2 linked regions of the Ovis aries genome follow. The protein of the gene in region 1 interacts with the protein of each later gene in a biochemical or structural test. Links are inferred from orthologs where the notes say so. Each region holds a gene or a part of one and is shown on either strand. Other genes may lie near its edges.

Region 1 (3,746 bases):
TACATTCATGGATCCCCCAGGCACAGCCTCCAGGAAGGTTATGAGATGCCACTGCAGCAGCCAGTGTGCAGCTCAAACAGAATGGTCCCCGAGAGGAAGTGGGCGGCACCTTCTACCCAAAGGATCCCAGTGTCACATGTTCTCTATCTCCTGGCCTCGGGAAGAACACGTGCCCAGAAACGGTTCTGATATAACTGGCTCTTCTGCACACATCCCCTCTGTCCACCAAGAGGAAGTAACACATGGTATGCTGTTGGGCAAAGAGACAGCAGAAGATGGAATGTCAATCCAGTGGTGATCTAATGATCTTGCCCAGTGTTGCTGTGTCAAAGACCTCTTTCCACACGCAACACTGGGTGACTAACAACTCTCTGGTCCAGGTGGCCCTCTTAGACAACTGGCTGGCAGGCCAGGAACCTCTCCCATGTTGCCTTTTGTTAACAGTTGGCCACAACCCACATGGAATTAGGACCACCAGCCAGAGATAACAGTGAGGGGCAAATGGCCCAAGTCTCTACTTAGGCCTCAGAGGGTGTGTCAGAAACGCTGGAATCCTGTCCCTCCTGTAGTAAGTTAAACAAATATTTGCCCCTAAAGAAAATCAAAGCAGGAGGGAAAAAGAGAGGTCATCACACAAACCAACAGGAACTATTTAATCATTTATTCCCCCAGGGAGTTCATTTACTGAAAGGCTTTCAAGTTGGGTCAGTCTGAGCCAAAGAAAGCCCTCCACCTTTACCTTCCCAGCCCCACCCCGGTCATCTGACCTCTACTCTGCTCTTTATAAGAACTGGCAGTGGGAAGAGTTGATGAAGTTGCAAAGAAATGGGAAATAAGACAGGGGGTGGTGTACCTGGAGGTCCCTTGCTCAGTGGTAAACTGAAGTGGCTGCCACACCCTAGGCCCAGCCTCTGGATAATTGCATTCTTAACATTCCTGAGTCCATGGTGCGTGGCCCTTTCCACCTCAGCTCCTTCAATAGATGACTTATTTTCCACAGCCTGCTCAATTTTCTGAAGGACAGAATGAATACCTCTCTTAAGCCCTACACCTCCCTGAGGCAGGGAGATAAGCGAGGAGATATGACTGAGTTCACTGCAAGAGAGCAAAAGCTGCTGACAGTGACCACAGGTAAAGAATCCCTCCACACCAGCTCATCCTGACTTGGTGATATCAGGGCAAGGGAATTCTCTTCCCTGGCAAAGGAATGAGGCACGACTCAGTTTCAGAAGGTGTACCTGGATCTGACAGTAACTACTAGAGCAAACTTCCTGTCACTATGCTCACATCAGCTCCAAGATTTACAAGGACTGCAAGGCAAGAGGGTTGGCCACATTTTTTTAGTGGAAGAACCTGAGGCTCAAGGTAAACTGGCCTGTCCAAGGTCACACACCTAGTTAAGTGACAGGGCTGGGACTCACATCTGTGTCAGTTTGTTTCTGAAGTCTGTCACTGAATCTCAATGTCCCAAGGAGCCCCAAAGATCAGGTTCTTGCATTGCCAGCAAACAGTGCTCAGTGAAGAGGCCCCAGGGCCATGGCAGAAAAGTGACAAGCATAACAGCTGGAGCTCCCCAACCAACCCAGGCAGTGAGGTGCAAAGTCCCTGGGCTGACAGCAAGCGCTCCGCAAACTGGCCAACCACACAGAAAAGTCGCATACTTTAGAGCCAATAAATATGGGGCACAGCACAAACACAACTGGCCCATTGGCGCAGCTTACAACCTAAAATCAGACAATCCTCAGCCATCCAGAGGGATGCAAAGCCAGGCCATGCAAACTCTGAAATAAGGGGAACCTGATTTGGAGGAGGGAAGCCCAGGACAGGATTGACAGCTCAAGGGAGTAAGACTGAAGGGGCTGGTGGGTCACTGATATTCACTATCTTCTCCAGGCATTCCACTCATCACCCCTTAACGTTGTGAGCCATTATGTCAGGGTGAGGGGTAACCTGTTACCTTTGCATTCTCAAAGGTTTGGGGCCAAATGAACACACAGGCTATGTTATCTTCTGCAGAGAAACTGGAACACAAGTATGACAGAGTAGGGTCACGAGGAAGACCAGAATGAAGATGTCTGGTCCTCACAGAACTAGGTCATCTGTATTTCAGAAGTTAACCTCTGTGATACAAAGAGGCCAGTTATGTCTCCTTAACAAACAATAATAATCACCCAGCACAACAGACACAGGGGAAAGGTTGTTGGGGATTTGACCAGAAGCCAAGGAAAAGGAATACATAAGGGGCGTGGTTCTTACCCAGCCGCCGTTCTCCTGGATCCAAGGCTCTAGGTGGTCATTCAGGTAAGTAGCCATCCAAGTTGCGATCCGACTCACCAATACCTGCATCTCCTTGTCTACGCTTTCCACGCACAGTGCCCCACCGAAGGAGAAAAAGGCCACAATGCGACCCCAGTTCACCCCGTCCCGGAAGAGTTCATTCACTACCTGTTCAAAGCTCTGATATGCTGTCCCTGGGGTGATGTGGAGCTGGGACGTCAGGTCGCTGAATGCCCGTCGGTACCTCAGTTCAAACTCATCGCCTGCCTCCCTCAGGGCTTGCTTCACCGCTGCCATGGGGATCACTTCCCGGGCATCCAAGCTTCTGCTGTGGCCGGTGGCTCCATTCACCGCAGGGCTATCCGCCAGGTGCCAAGATGGGTTGCCATTGATGGCACTGGGGGTTTCCATATCTGATTCTGTCCCTTCTGGGGCCTCAGTTCTGTTCTCTTCCACATCACTAAACTGACTCCAGCTGTATCCTTTCTGGGAAAGCTTGTAAGAGAGAAAGTCAACCACCAGCTCCCGGTTGCTCTGAGACATTTTTATAATAAGGATGGGCTCCACCAGTCCATTGTCCAAAACACCTGCTCACTCACTGGGTCTGGTCTCTGCTTAGTGGTTCTCTTCGAAGATCCAAAGGCAAGACAAGGTTCTGAAGGGAAAGAAAGAGCTTCAGGGGGGAAAAAATGAATATGCAAGCCATTTACCTACAATATCCCATTCCCCACTCCAGGTACTTGAACTGGGTTCTCTGCCGCTCTTATGAAGATATGGGTCTAGCTTCCCAGGTACTTCGATGAAGTCAATTTGAAAGCACCAGTGGGCTCTGAATCATCACACCGGCCTTTTTTTCCTCCCCTTTTATCCCAGCCACCCCCTTTTCTCTGAAATGTCTTCCTCGAAAAGTCACCCCCATGGGCAGTCTGCCCCCCACCCCCATAAACCCTCACCACCTACATTCAAATCCGTCTCAGGCGACGGCAGGCAGGTGCAGCCCCCGGAAGATCTTTTGTATCATAGGTGGGAGAGGAGGTGGCAGCGGGGATGCCGGTAAGTCAACCGGCCTCGCGGCGGCGGCTGGCAAAAAAAGCAGCTCCGGCTGGAGGGATCATGCGACCCGGCGAACTGAGAGCTCAGGAGGCGACACAGGAATTACGAAGCTCAAGAACCGGCCCCCTCGCTTGCTTCCTCCTCCATCGCCCCGATCGAGGGCGGCCGCTGCCGCGGCCTCCTGCCACCCGGGAGCCCAGCCCCCTCGCTCTTGCACGCCCCTTGGCTCTCCGCCTCCTACTGGGAGCTAGGAGAACTCTCTCGGAGGTGGCTGGTGTGAGCTTTAGTTTTTTTTTTTTTTTTTTTCTATTTCAGTATCAGCCCTGGGTGAGGCTTCCGAAGAAACCTTGAAGGGACTTCTCGATGGGGCTCAAGGTTTCGATGAGAAACAGAGGGAGGGGAACACTGCCTTGGAT
Region 2 (3,646 bases), on another chromosome or scaffold:
GAACCAGGCCCTCGAAGAGACAGCTCTGCACTGGGGTCAGTGATGCCAAACAGCAAAGGGCAGGGTCAGACCTTGGGATCAGGGCCAGCTTCTCCTGTGAGGGACTGAGTTGGGAAGAAATGGCCCTGGGCTGAGTTCTAGTCCTGTGCCAGGGCTCGACTGGGCAGAGGAGGCCTCCTAGCCTGCTCCCAAGCCTAGAAGGGCTCACCAGTGGATGGTGGAACATTCTGGGAAACAGCTGTCGAGAGAGATCAGGTCTAATGCGAATGCAGAAAACTGCCTTCCAGGTAGTCCCCCAGCTGAGTCCAGGAGACCCAGAGCCACTGTGTTCTCCATCAGCTACAGCACTGGGGCTAGGAGCTGCGAGCTCAGGCCAACCACAGGCCTACACAACCAGCGTAAAATGAATGGGTAGGAAGAAGGCCAAGAGGCAGAAATCAAGAACCAGAGTGGACTGAAGGGAAAACCCTAAGCCAAGTTTCCACAGAGCTATCAAAGGAGGGAATAGGGGCTGGAACTTGGAGCCAGAGGAGACAGCCAGGCTGCCTTATCTAAGCATAGGGCCACCCTCTCTTCCTGAGGGACTGGGGGACCCACCAGGACCAGGTCTAACCCCACATTTCCCTCAGAACCCCTTGGCAGAGAATAACCCCTTCTGTCTGGATCTCAGGAAACTTAAACTCAATTTCTGTCTCCCCACCCCACCTCCCGCCAGGTGCTGGCCATATTTTGGTCCTCAAACCAAACCTATTATCAATAGCTCTCCTCCGGTCACCTGAATTTCCCCACCTAACCTCAGGGTCTGCCCAATCGTGGTGGATTAATTATTCTCTTGATTTCCTAATATACAGTCATATATAGACACGCATATACACACACACACAGCCGACTAGGCAAGGACACTGTCTCAGAGGCAGGGAATGTGTTCATTTCCAGGTGGCATGACTTTGCTTCAGTGGTGGTTGTACTAGCAGGGATCCAGCCTCAGGCTCCTCTCCCCGCCTTGGCAGCCATCCAGAAAGTCAGCCCAGGGAGGAAGAGTTAAGTGCCCAGGGGCTGGGCCAGACTGCCGCTGCAGAGCCAGGCAGCCTCCAGCCCAAGGCACAGAGGGCTCCTCCACACGAGCCCGCCAGCCGCCGCCTTTGTTGATGGGCTCTGCCACAAGCTCCAGTGACACGCGATGCTCCGCCCTGGCGGGCTGGTGCCAGGCTGCCCGCTGAGCACCCGGTCGCTGGTCTGGAGAGACTGTGAGGTACACAGTCTCCAGAGTCCTGGCCCTGGTTTCCAGACAGAGACAATGAGGAGCGGCCTCCCCAGCTGGAAAGTGTCGGGTTACAACCGGTTCCACCACTTTTCCCAACTCAGACCCGTCCAGGCCTCGGTTACCCATTTCCCACTGCACCACAGCCAGGTACCTCCGACTGTCCAGTTTTCCTCAGCACCATGAAAATCTTCCCCTTAGGTCTGCAAGGGACCATCTCCCACTGATGAACTCAATAAGATACAGTGTGTCAATCAAGGCTGCAAGAAGCTATGCCATTCTCCAGAAGAGATCGGAGCATTTCCCAGGGGCCTGAGCTGAAAGCAGGCAGATAAACAACTTGGATCTCATAGGTGAGAGCAAAAGCACTCATCCAGCCAGGCCCATTCTCGATTTCCAGTTCAAGAGAATCACGGTAACGTGGGTCCTGGCAGAGACAGAGTTGCTGAGGCAGGCCCCAGCCCCACAGACCCAGCAGATGCACACCACCTCCCCCCACCAAGCCCCAGTGCCTACTTGCTGCATATGAAGCCGATGGAACTGGTCTGCAATGCACTGGAGTTTTCGGGCAATCTGTATCTCTGCTCGATGTTGCCACTGCCCTTCAGGGGGTTGGTCACCAAGGGGCAAGCCTGCAGGGAAACTGGCAGGAAGGGGGAGCCGGTAGCCAGCATTGCCTGCAAAGACAGAGGGCCCACATCTCAGCAAGCTCCACCACTGCCCCATCTTCCCCATGCCTGCCACCCCTGGTCAAGACCCGGGGTCAAGGGTAGACTCTAGTATGGGAAGGAGAGGAACTGAGCCTGTCTTTCTCAGGGCACTCTGCCAAATGTGGACAGCCTGACTTGCCTGCTGACCAAGAGTATGAAAGCTGATGCCAGGCTTTCCTCCCTTCACTGGCAGCGCCATGGCAAAGGTAATAAGTGTGGCTGAACTTGCCAACCTTCTGTCCTTATTTACACAGCTACGCTTGACCACAATTTATTATTCATTATTCATACAGTAGTAGCAGGCTGAAGCTCTTCTCTAGAAAAACATTGGAGGCAGCTCTCCAGAGATCCTCAGTTGAGCAAAGCAAGGGACAGAGAATGAAAATCAGAAAGTAACCTCACTTTTTGGTGTAGCAGAGAAAGGCTGGTTTCAGGCCCTGAAGCTCTGGGCAGTGGCACAGAAACATAGGGAGAGAAGACTCCTCTGAACCACAGAGTAGCCAAGTTCCTCTCTGCAGCCAGCCCCAGGCCAGACATCTAGACCTGCTCTCCTCACTGACCAAGTGCTGGTCACCGAGCTGCCGCTAGGGGCGCCCGCTTGCTCCCGTCTTTCCCTCCTTCCTGCCCGCCTGCCTTATCCATCTTCTCAGATTCCTGCCAGAACTTTGCCTGAATTGTCCTACAGTGCAGCTCCTTCTGGGAATAACTGCAGCGTCTCCTCAATCCGCTCCATTGGACCCAGCAAGATAGCCTCTGAACCACCCTTCCCTCCATAAGCTTTGTGCTAAATGAAGAACACTGGCTATCTAACCTTGCCCTTTTGCCAGAGGAGGGCAAATTGCTAATAAAACCAACCACTGAAGCCCACAAATGAAAGGGTCTTATCTGACTGAGCCTTGGAAACAGCCCCTTTGTTGGCAATGAGCCTAGGCAGGCCCAACCTCTTTCTCCAGTTCCCCTTCCAAACACAGAAAGTCCCAAGTGACAACTGGGGCGGGGAACCTTCTGCCTCCAGGAAACTTCTCTCCCAGAACAAGCTGGGTTTTCCCCTTCAGTGTCAACAGCGAGTCACAGATCCCCCAGCCTTCTCCAGGGCAACACTAGCCACTTTACGGAAGGTACATCACTATTACGACACAAAAGCCTGGGCCAGTCAACAGGCCATAATATGTAAAAGCCAAGACCCAGGTACCCTTCTTCCAACCCAAGGAGATACCATGGACCCAAGGATCCCTCCAGAAAGGGACAAATGAGCAGAAAAGAATGGCAAGGCAATCTGTCCTGCTTGTGGCCTGAGGAGCACAGACAAGAAGCAGTATATGAGCAGAGAGTCAGCAGGTGAAGAGTTGAGGGATCAATAGCCCCTGCTGCTCAATTTGGGGAAGGAAATAGCAAAGAGCAGGTTTGGGGAGGGAAAGTCCCCTCTTTTCCCCCATCTCTAAGGGAGGAGTCCTAAGGCTAAGAGCACTCACCATAAAAGAGTCGCTGGGGCTCCTCAGTCACCCCACAAGGCAGCATGACACCCTGGCTCGGGGAAGCTGGGCTGAGAGTCTGGGTAGCCTTGTCTTCCTGGCTGGTGGGTCGAAGCCCAGGGCCACAGCAGTGCGTGAGAGGGAAGAGCTGCAGACGGCTGAGGGGGCAGTCCAGCTGGCTCTGGGCAAACAGGTCAGCAGAG

The links.
Region 2: the proteins of BCL2L1 (region 1) and BMF interact in a test that uses a peptide from one of them, tested with the Homo sapiens proteins (2 studies listed by BioGRID). The link is inferred for Ovis aries from reciprocal best matches to the Homo sapiens genes BCL2L1 and BMF.

Annotation. Positions count from the first base shown.
Region 1 is NC_056066.1:60,937,146-60,940,891, forward strand, and holds the start of BCL2L1 (bcl-2-like protein 1), read right to left. Parts: upstream 2,861-3,746; 5' UTR 2,821-2,860; coding exon 2,257-2,820; intron 1-2,256. UniProt on the Homo sapiens protein: Potent inhibitor of cell death. Inhibits activation of caspases. Appears to regulate cell death by blocking the voltage-dependent anion channel (VDAC) by binding to it and preventing the release of the caspase activator, CYC1, from the mitochondrial membrane.
Region 2 is NC_056060.1:33,965,443-33,969,088, forward strand, and holds part of BMF (bcl-2-modifying factor), read right to left. Parts: coding exon 3,444-3,646; intron 1,939-3,443; coding exon 1,778-1,938; intron 1,579-1,777; coding exon of another isoform or gene 1,516-1,578; exon of another isoform or gene 1,420-1,515; intron 1-1,419. UniProt on the Homo sapiens protein: May play a role in apoptosis. Isoform 1 seems to be the main initiator.